Linked DNA regions of Rattus norvegicus. The protein of the gene in region 3 interacts with the protein of the main gene of each other region in a pairwise test. Links are inferred from orthologs where the notes say so. Each region holds a gene or a part of one and is shown on either strand. Other genes may lie near its edges.

Region 1 (3,568 bases), on a different chromosome or scaffold from region 3:
AAAGAAGCAGTTGAAGATCTTAAGAGACAGAGACACTGAAGGGTGGATGGGTCAGGCCCCAGGACAGATGTGATGCCATGGAATGCATTGAAGACAGGGTGGGGCAGCACGGGGCTCAGATGGCCTCAACATAGTTGGCTGGCAGCATCCCCGTGTCACCGGTGCGCTCTACGGTCCCATACATCCAGCCATCATCGATCTGCTGCACATTGACGATGGTGTCCCCATCCTGGAAGGAGACCTCGTCCTCATCGGCAGCGCTGTAGTCATACACTGCACGGTACCGTTTCTGGGGAGCACAGCCAATGGTTAGCCTGGGTATTTGATGTAGGCTCTCCCACACACACCCAGACCTTCTCCTGTGCTGGACAAGTGCTCCACCAAGTCACTCCCAGCCCCGTGTTTCTCTCTACCTCTCAGGGACCTTGAGGGAAAGAAACAATAAACCAGAAGATGGAGCCTGGGGTAGGTTCTGTGGTGGAGTCTCTTGTACCTGTTTCCACATAGCAACAGTAAAGTCCTATAGACTTGACACAAATCTATTGGCTTTTAAATGTGACATATACAGGGACTGAGGAGATAGTTCAGCAGTTGAGAGCACTGACTTTTCTTCCAGAGGACCCGAGTTCAATTCCCAGCACCCACCTGGCAGCTCATGACTGTAATTCCAGTTCCAGGGGCCCCAACACACTCACATACACACAAGTAGGTGAAACACCAATGCACAAAAGAAAAAGTAATAAATTCCTAAGAAAAAGTGCAATATACCATTCTGGGCATGATAAGATGGGATTTTGAATCTCAGCACTCAAGAGACTGAGATTTAAAACAAGACAAGATCCTCAGTTCAAGGCCAACCTGGGCTACATAGCTTGTATCCTTAGGTCTTGGGTTTAATTCTCAACACCACAAAACAAAAAAGAGGTATAGATAGCCTAATCACTTTTCAGATCCTGGTCCGTACATTGACTACCTTTTATGTCCAACCAGATGGCCATTGCGGTCTCTGGCTATCCTCTACACGAACGCCCAACACACCCCATCCCCTCAGTCTGCTATCCTCCTATTTACCCTACATGGGCACAAAGGTGAACTTCTCCTTTTTTAAAAAAAAAGGAGAAAAATGTTCAAGACAAGGTCTAAGCTATGTAACCAGGTTAGCCTTGAACTCCCAGTGAATCGTCTGCCACACCTTCCCAAGTGCTGAGGTTACACCTGTACCCAACTGCCAGGGTGATTTTCATAAAGCAAAAGTGCAGTGTAGTGCAGTGTAATGCAGTGCCGTGTAGTGCCGTGTAGTGCCGTGTAGTGCAGTGTAATGCAGTGCCGTGTAGTGCAGTGTGGTGCAGTGTAATGCAGTGCCGTGTAGTGCAGTGTGGTGTAGTTCAGTGTAGTGTAGTGCAGTGTGGTGTAGTTCAGTGTAGTGTAGTGCAGTGTGGTGTAGTTCAGTGCAGTGTAGTTCAGTGCGGTGTAGTTCAGTGCAGTGTAGTTCAGTGCAGTGTAGTTCAGTGCAGTGTAGTGTAGTGCAGTGTAGTGTAGTGCAGTGCAGTGCGGTGTAGTTCAGTGTAGTGTAGTGCAGTGCAGTGTAGTGCAGTGAAGTGCAGTGCGGTGTAGTGCAGTGCAGTGTAGTGCAGTGCGGTGTAGTTCAGTGTGGTGTAGTGCAGTGCGGTGTAGTGCAGTGCAGTGTAGTGCAGTGAAGTGCAGTATAATGCGGGACAATTTAGTGCAGTGCAGTACAGTATAGTGTGGTGCAGTGAAGTGCAGTATAGTGCAGTGCACTGCAGTGTAGTACAGTGTAGTGTAGTATCGTATAGTGTAGTGTATGTAGTGCAGTGCAGTGCAATGCAGTGTAGTGCAGTGCCATGCAGTGCCGTGCAGTGTAGTGCAGTATAGATTACTAGTCTCAAAGGCCTTCCTTCCCATGGGCTTACAGGTACCCAAAGGGCTTGACCTCATCTACTTCTTCCTGTCTCCAGGAACCTGGACCTTCCCATAAGACACTGAACATTCCAAGGATGTTCTGTTATAAGGTCTTTGTACCTGCTGTCCCCCTTGTACCATTTGACTCTGCTGCTCTGTCCCTTACCCTGCATAGGGCAGGCCATTTGCTGCCTTACCCTTCACACAGCCTCCTGTTGCCTCCACCCTAAAGAAAGGTCACTTATCCCAGGCCACCTTATTTCTCTTCTACTCTGACACGAGTTGCTTTGAATCCCAGCGTGGAAATCAGCCTAGTGCACCCTGGCGGGAGGTACCCCGGAACACCCAGGCCAGAGCTTCACACCCAGGGCCACCCAGCTTAGTGATGCTCATTTTCCCAAAACTGGTGAGTCCCACCCCAGGCCTGGCTCTGGCTCTGGCTCTGGCTCGTCCTACTCTAAGCCTGGCTCAAGACAGTAGCACAAGGCTACTTCCTGCTCACACAGAGACACAAGTTAGTATAATCCTTTTCTGGGGAAAGGGACATGGCCCTGGGGGTCAGAAGAACCCAAGATCCTGTGTATATTAGGTGAGAACTCTACATTTCACCTTTATCACTCATGCATGTGTGTGTGCATATGTGCACTGTGTGCATGTATGTGTGAGCTCTCGTGTGTGCATGTGTGTGTGCACGCCTGCATGTGTATGTATGTGTGTGTGCGTGCGTGCGTGCGTGCGCCCGTACACAGGTGCGTGCAGCTGTGACCTCTTTCACCCTTTCACCCCGGGGCTTCTCTATTCCAGACAATTACTCACCCCGCCGCCACCTGGGGCACTGCGCTGTATGGAGACAGGGGCTGCTGGCTCCTTGTACCCACCATAGGACGGGGTCACCTGCTGCTGTTGGGGCTGCTGGTAAACTGGAAGACAGAAGAGATGGCTCGGAAAGTGTTTTGCCAAATTCATTCCCCCAGCCCCTATGAGGTCAAAGGTATGAATTTCTAACCCCACTTGGGCCTTGCTCAGCACTGCTCCCCCCAAAGCAAAGGCTAGGCATGCGCATTCATTAGTGTCTTAGGCACGGCTGTCTGCTCCTTACAGCAGGATCTGCTACTCCAGATCTCCTGCTCCTTGGCGGGGGTGGAGATGAGATTTTTAGGGAGCAGACCTATATGCATAGATGCCTGTATATGTAGCCGCCCCCACTCTCTTGACCTCAGGCCCCCTCCTCCCCTCCCTACACTCACCTGGGGCACTGGTCGGGATATGGTGGGGCTGTGGCTGTTGCTGCTCCGTGGGCCTCCGGTAGCTGCTGCTGTCCTGGGCTTCTCGGCGCTCTGGCTCTATGCCTTCACCTCCGCTGGGCCCCATGCGGCTCTTCTCAAACTCCTCATGGTATTTGATCTGTAGGGCAGAAGGGATGGGTGAGCCAATCAGTCCTCTCCCACGGCCACTCACGCTGGGCATGGCAGTAAGTGCCCCTTGTGCTAGCTCCTGAGGCAGCGGGGCGGAGCAAGGCCACACACACACACACACACACACACACACACACACACACACACACACACACACACGGACTCCAGGAGAGCTACAGAAAGACCGTACCAGCTCTCTAAGTGATTTAACCACGACAAGCTAGGTAAACCTT
Region 2 (3,077 bases), on a different chromosome or scaffold from region 3:
AAGCCTCTCATTGGATAGAGGAACCCTGGAGGATGAGATGCTGGTTTGGAAGACAGGATAATAAACCTGGCTTTGGATATGGGGATTTGAAGCACCTGTCTAACATCTGAGTAGATCAATTAGTCTGAGTAGAAGAGAAATTTTGAGGCTGTAAGATTTGAAGGGCAGGTAAAAGTAGAAATGTGGAAGAGTTATGTCTGGGACAAGGCATATAAGGTAAAGAAAGCTAGTTTTTCATTTAGGAAAGAAAGACCATGGACCCGTAAGATAACTGAGGTACAGAGTCTGAAGGCAGTATTGGGGTTATGATTTCATTTTTGGAAGTAGTGCATCCAGCTGAGGGTGTAGTTCAGTGGTAGTTTGCCCAGCATGTGCTTGACCCTGGGGCTGATCCCCAGCACCAAAAAGCAATGAAGTCCCATGTCCATTTCTTCTTACTCATTGCCCTTGAGTCTCTGGACTCCTTTTTTAGTGGAGCCACAGTTGTGAAGGGTCTCAACATTTCAGCACTTCAGCTGTGAAGTGATGCAAATTAATAGTAGGAATCTCATCTCCCTTGTGCCAAGCATTGTGGCCAACAAGTCCCCCCCCCCCAATAGACCCTCCTGGAGGTTCTATTAGCCTTTCTTTACAAATGAGAAAATTGGAGGCTCTGAGAGAACCAGCTTGCTCAAGATTGCCTTGAACTGAGGTCAGGTAGAATAAACAAGTAAAAGAGGGTGTTTTAGTGAATAAAGGGTCACTGGATCTTTACCTACCAACCAGATATAGCAGGCAGGTATTTAAGAATGGTCAGGGCTGATGAAGTTGGTCTTTGGTTAAAGGGTTCTGTCCTTTCCTATTTAGCTGACTTGGAGCTGGAAGAGATAGAAGATTTTCTTGGGGAGCTGATGACCACTGAGTTTGATACCGTTGTGGAAGATGGGAGTCTGCCCCAGGTGAGCTTATGGAGACAGCTGCTAGCCCCCTGCCTGCTCTTTCTCCCTATTTCCTGTTAGGGACAAGGTTCTTGGTCGTCATTCTTTTCTTGAGGTGTAGACAACATTCCCTATAGCCTTTTCAAACATTACCTTTATTTCTCTCCTTATATAATTTTCAACCATGTATTTTCCCCACACCCCACCAGCTGGGTTGGATCAAATTCCATCCCTATTCTAATAAACACTGCTCATCCTAGTGAGATGTCTTTCATTTTGCATCTTTAGTCCCTTTTTTCCTTTTTTTTTTTTTTGACAGTGTTTTACTCTCTAGCATGGGTAGCCTAAACTGTACTGTGTAGCCCAGTCAACCTCAAATTCATAGCAGTCAGCATGCTTCAGTCTCCCAAGTAGTGGGATTACAGCCGTGTACCACTTAGTCAATTCTAGTACCTTCCCTTCTAGGAGGCCCTCATTGAAGGCTTCACACCCTCACCCAAGCCCTTCAGTTGTTGTTGCTTCATTGAACTTTGTTGGGTTTTTTTTGAGACAGGATCTTACTATGTAATCCTGGCTGTCCTAGAACTTGCCATGTAGACCAGGCTGGCCTTGATCTCAGAGATCTGCTTGCCTCTGCCTACTGAGTGCTAGGATACAGATGTGTTTTATTGACAGTGTGTTACTGTGAAGCCAGGCTGATCTCAATCTCAAAATTCTCCTGCCTCAGAGGTCTCTCATTTATATGCATCCACCACTGTGCCTCTTCTTAGGGAGAAAAGAGCCCTGAAAATTCAAACCCTCCCCCTCTACTCTGCTCTAAACAGGCTGGCTTTATAGTAGATTGATAAATCTAAGTTTTGGGGTATTTTCTTGATAGGTGAGCCAGCAACTACAGACCATGTTCCACCACTTCCAGAAGGGTGATGGGGCTGCTCTTCAGGAGATGACCTCTCATATCAACCAAAAAAAGTGCAAAGTCACAGCTACCCCACTTAAGACGGCCAAAGAAACTGATGTGGCAGAAGATGATGTGGACAGCGTGGAAGAAATGGAGGTGAAAGAAGTCCTGTACTTGGGGCGGGGGTTATCCCCAAATGTTTTCTGGAAGAGTGCCTAGATTCACAGGGAAGTGGTGGCAGTTTGAGGGAGTGGTGTTATTTCCAAGGATAGCTCACATAGTCATGGAAAACTTGGGAGTAGAGCCTGGGTAATGTACTTAGTTATTTTTCTTTCATTTTCCTTCCAGGTGACAGCTACTAATGATGGGGCCACAACGGATGGGGTCTGCCCCCAGTCTCAACCTTCTGATCCAGACTCCCAGACTATTAAGGAAGAGGATATAGTTGAAGATGGCTGGACCATTGTCCGGAGAAAGAAATGAGCAGGGCAGTACATGTTTGGGGCCCTTGTTTGTTGGGTGTTATGAGAGACTTATAGGAGCTGTTTTTGGGGGAACTATACACCTCTGTTCTGGAAACCGTATCCCTTCTTTGTTCCCATCCTTCCCTTCAGGGGAAGAAAAGCCCTAAAGTCCTTGGTTGTGGGGTTGATGAGACCTATTCCAGCCCCTTGAATCTTAAGGTACCATATGAGAGATGAGACCAGGTTTCCCAGCATAGTGCCTCCTAGGTGCAGTGAATTGGAAGATGGGTGATAGGTGTGGATGTGGTTATAGAAGCCAGGCTTGTGGAAAGTAGGCAGGTACATTTATGGAAAGGACCGGAATTCCACAGTGGGAGGCTGGCTGGCTTGGCAATTGTGAGAAAAGCATACAGCTGGAAGAGAGATGTAGAAGTCTACATTCCCCAATGTCCCCACCCTAGCCTCCCACAGAGCATTCCCCAACCGACCAGAATTTTCATCCTCCTGGGAATTCTCCCCCTTGAATACCCTTGAGAGTTTGAAGGACTTAACTAAAAGTGGTGAACTTGGGAAAGTTGGGCTGTTTTAAGTCCAGGGATGAGGCTTAAGATCTTAATAACATAACACTTTCTTGTTTAATTCATGATTTAACCTTGGAATCAGCTTTCTGAGAGCTGAGCTTCAAAATTCATCAAGAGAGTAGTTTCTGCACCCTCCCCTCTCCCTTAGTAGCCTGGGACTTCGGACAAACGGACGGACCATAGCAGTGCTCTGAAAGTTACTGTACGCCTGAAATAA
Region 3 (4,187 bases):
CCCTTCTTGCGTTTGGTATTGAGAATTCTTCCCAGACTCCAGACTCGACCTTTCTTTTGTATGAACAGCTCTCCTTCAAACTTACCCCTCTACATACACCCACCCAGCCGGGGCCAAATTTATACTTATATAAAAGTTGTAAATATGTGAAATTTTATCCCATTCCCTCTCCTCTGCTTCCCTACATCAGGCCTTACCCTTGGACCTCCTCCCTCCTCTTTGGCTGTTGTAATTATCTGGGGTTTGTACTGTACATAATTGGGGTGGGGGGCTGGGAGGCGACCCCTCTGTACAGAGCTTCCTGGCTCCCTAGCCCCACCCCTCATTTCCTTCCCCACCCACCACCTTAAGAGTAGGGAGAAGATCTTCTTACTCATTTTTTTTGCTGTTTGTTTACTCGTTCTCCTTTCTGCTCCTGCTCCCAGACTCTTGGTCCCCACCCCCATCCCCCCACACCCCCTCTTTTCTCCCACTCCCGGGTCCATTTCCCTTTTTTTTTCTGGAGTGTGTGGTGAAACAGAAAAATCATGTTTAATAAACGGAGATTGTTCTTTTATCGCTGGGCTGACTTTTATTTTTGGTTTTTCAAGACAGGGTCTCTGTGTGGTTCTGGGCTGTCTTGGAACTCACTCTGTAGACCAGGGTGGCCTTGAACTAGCAAGATCCGCCTGCCTCTGCCTCCTGGGACTAAAAAAGCGTCTGTCGCGGGGGGGGGGGCTGATTTTTTAGCCTGGGGTCTCCAGAACCACCTGAAGGCTGACAGGGACTACTTTGGGGGAGAAAAAGTAAAACAAAATCATGTCTTCTTCCACTACACACTGCTCGAGTCAGGAAAACTATATACGGCAGGGCCTTTCTGGTGAAACTCCTACCCCCGTTCTCTACCCGCCGGACACTCGACCCAAAGGCGCTGAGGCTGGGAACCGGCTTTTAACGCCCGAAAGACTCCAAGTGCAAAACCCTCTCGACATAGGGTTTAATTGTGAGGACGCTTGTCTGCGAAATGGAGGAAAGAACCCGGGGTGCTCAGCATGTGTGCGCTCCAGACTTCTGACCTGGCTGCCCCACGTGCACGCGGAGGACAGCCGCATCTCCTACCTCGCGCGGCAAGAGTCGGGGGGATACACACACCGCGCTGCGGAGCCAGTCACTCCCCTCACCCCAGAACCCGCAGAACCACCCTCCTCATCGGCCGCTCATCCCGGAAAACATTCGCCGCCGCTCCAGCAGCCCGCCCGCCCAAAGCCCCGCCCCTCCGACTGACCAGCCAATGAGGAGAGGTCTTGTAGGCCGCCGCTCTCCCATTGGCTGCAAACCAGGTCCGGCCCTCCGCGCCTGGCTGCAGTGGCGTCCGGCGGAACTGCGGCAGCTTCCGGCCGGCCAGGCGCAGTGGATGCGAGGAGCTCCGACGCGGTCGTGCGTGCGGTGGGGGCGTGTCGGTGGGAAGTCGTGGGGCCGGAGCTCGCGGAGCCGGCCTGTCCGAGCAAGGTGAGGAGGGGCGAGCGGCGGCGGAGGGCGACTGAGCCAGCGAGGCGGGGCGCCATCCCTTCCCTACTTGGCTTCCGCTGGGCCTGGAAGTGAAAACCCTGGTTAGTGTTTTGCTGGGTTTCTTGGTGGGCGGAACTAATACACAGAAACTTGTCACTGAAGAGTTTTCAAGTGTCGGTGGGGAGCGGCTTGAGGCAGGTCTCATACCCCGAACTTGTGTGACCCTAGTCTCTTTCCTCTGCAGTCTTCATCCACGGGTTTTATTTCTCCCTCCGAGGTAGCCATGGATGCTTCGACTCCTTTGCCTCCCGCACCCTCTTCTCCGAGGTGTAACCCAGCCCCACAGACAATCCACATTGATTTCCCTCATCATAGCTCTTCGCTGCTGGAATCCCTGAACCGCCATAGGCTGGAGGGAAAGTTCTGTGATGTATCCCTCCTGGTTCAGGGCAGGGAACTGAGGGCTCACAAAGCAGTGTTGGCTGCTGCCTCTCCTTACTTCCATGACAAGCTGCTATTGGGGGATGCGCCCCGACTCACTTTACCGAATGTCATCGAGGCAGATGCGTTCGAGGGACTGCTTCAGCTCATCTATTCAGGAAGCCTCCACCTGCCATTGGATGCTCTTCCTGCCCATCTCCTCGTGGCCAGTGGCCTTCAGATGTGGCAGGTAGTAGATCGGTGCTCAGAGATTCTTCGAGAGCTAGAAACGTCCAGTGGAATTTCATCTGGTGGAGGAGCCTCCAGCCTCACACTTCTTTCCACAACATCTGCAGGAGGCTGGTGCATTCGCTCTTCCCCTTTCCAGAACCCAGGGCGGTCCTCCGCTTCCACAGAGAATTCTGCTGCCCCTGAGAGCCCCAGTGGAGGGGAGGGGGGTGAACTAGAAGGAATGTTACAGATTCAGGTCAAAGTAGAGGAGGAAGAGGAGCAGAGGTCAGCAGCCCCACCCTTTCAGACCCCTCAGCCTGAGAGAGTGTCAGGAGCGGTTTCCCAGGCTTGCGGATCCCACCCGTTGCCTACATCGACTCTTCCCAGCAAACCTTCAGAGGATGAGAACTCAACACTTGATCCTCCTGCCCCTCCCGTACAAACTTCCCAAATCTTATACGTTAACCAGGAAAACGTCGAGTGTAAGGAGGAGACATCAGGAGGCAGGACTCTGTCTGGAGGAGCAAAGGAAAAGACCAAAGTACTGCCTGGAGAGAACTCTGAGGAAAATGGGGAGCTAAGATACTTGCTGTCCTCAGGAGGAGGGGAGACGTCTGGGGCAGGAGACCCATCCTGGAAACCAGTGGATCTCCATGGGAATGAAATCTTGTCAGGGGGCGGAGGACCCGGAGGAACAGGGCAGGCTATGCACGGGCCTGTGAAGCTAGGAGGGACACCCCCTGCAGATGGAAAGTGCTTTGCTTGCTTGTGTGGAAAACGGTTTGCAGTCAAGCCGAAACGAGACCGACACATCATGTTGACCTTCAGCCTTCGTCCCTTCGGCTGCGGCATCTGTAATAAACGCTTCAAGCTGAAGCATCATCTGACAGAGCACATGAAGACCCACGCCAGAGCTCTGCACGCGTGTCCCCATTGTGGCCGCCGGTTCCGGGTCCAGGCTTTCTTCCTTCGACACCGGGACTTATGCAAGGGCCAGGGCTGGCCCACTTACCACTGGACTTACAAATGACTACCGATGCTCTGTAGTGATTTCTAGGACAAGATAGCCACTGCTGCTGACGGACTTACCTTCCACCACCTCAGTCCTGGATCGTGTGGTCCTTCCAAGAGATTATATATGTCATGTTGTGAACCCCTTACTCTTGGGGATGGGCCTCACCCTGGTATATTTGGAAGTCCTGTAGGAAGGTCATGCTTCTGATCACTCAACCGGAATGGCCCTTTTTGTATTGATAGCCAGTGAAGGAACTGCTGACCTCAGGTTATATTAGCAAGAGAAGAGATGGAGCAAAATGACCCAGTAACTCTATCCTCATCTTCATGAGGAGGTGAGGGAGCTGGTCTCCAACTAGGAAAACATTTGATTCAGAGCTCAAGTAATTGTCAGACTCAGCTCTGAGCGGCCTCTGCCTCACTGTCAACGGTATCCCGACTCTGTACTTTCTGTCATTTCTTTCCAGAAGCTTTTTAAAGTTGTACTTTTCTTTTCTCACCAGGAGACACCTTTCCCAAATATCCTTTTAAAAATGACTGGAGAGGTGGCTCGGGCACTGACTGCTCTTCCAGAGGTCCTGAGTTCAAATCCCAGTAGCCGCATGGTGGCTCACAACCATCTGTAATGGGATCTGACGCCCTCTTCTGGCCTGCAGGCGTACATGCAGACAGAGCATTCATACATTAAAAAAAAAAAGTACTTGAACATGAAGCAAGTGTCCTGCACACATTTAATCACAGCACATGGGAGGCAGAGGCAGGTGGATCTCTTCAAGTTCAAGGCCAGCCAGGGCTGCGCTCGGCGAGACCCTATCTTGAGGGGGATAAATAGTACTCGAGCACTTTAGCAAACTGAGCATTTCACAGGTTACTCTGAAAGCCCATCGCAGAGGGTCCTCCCTCAGAGGCCTTCACCTTGTCTTTCACTACCACTAATCACAATGACAGATGTGACCCAGGAACTCAAGAGGTGGCAGCTGGCCTACAGCGCTCCCAGGGTGGCATTTCCCCCACTTAGAGGATCTCAGGGTTGA

Evidence for each region.
Region 1: the proteins of Zbtb9 (region 3) and Lasp1 interact in binary tests that used the Homo sapiens proteins (3 or more experiments, as listed by UniProt). The two-hybrid records come from large-scale screens. The link is inferred for Rattus norvegicus from reciprocal best matches to the Homo sapiens genes ZBTB9 and LASP1.
Region 2: the proteins of Zbtb9 (region 3) and Tsr2 interact in binary tests that used the Homo sapiens proteins (3 or more experiments, as listed by UniProt). The two-hybrid records come from large-scale screens. The link is inferred for Rattus norvegicus from reciprocal best matches to the Homo sapiens genes ZBTB9 and TSR2.

Annotation. Positions count from the first base shown.
Region 1 is NC_086028.1:83,326,013-83,329,580, reverse strand, and holds part of Lasp1 (LIM and SH3 domain protein 1), read right to left. Parts: intron 3,325-3,568; coding exon 3,168-3,324; intron 2,841-3,167; coding exon 2,737-2,840; intron 290-2,736; coding exon 116-289; 3' UTR 1-115. UniProt on the Homo sapiens protein: Plays an important role in the regulation of dynamic actin-based, cytoskeletal activities.
Region 2 is NC_086039.1:23,509,588-23,512,664, reverse strand, and holds part of Tsr2 (pre-rRNA-processing protein TSR2 homolog), read left to right. Parts: intron 1-846; coding exon 847-938; intron 939-1,794; coding exon 1,795-1,971; intron 1,972-2,163; coding exon 2,164-2,298; 3' UTR 2,299-3,077. UniProt on the Homo sapiens protein: May be involved in 20S pre-rRNA processing.
Region 3 is NC_086038.1:5,057,964-5,062,150, forward strand, and holds the start of Zbtb9 (zinc finger and BTB domain-containing protein 9), read left to right. Parts: upstream 1-1,352; 5' UTR 1,353-1,488; exon of another isoform or gene 1,489-1,589; intron 1,590-1,732; 5' UTR 1,733-1,771; coding exon 1,772-3,169; 3' UTR 3,170-4,187. UniProt on the Homo sapiens protein: May be involved in transcriptional regulation.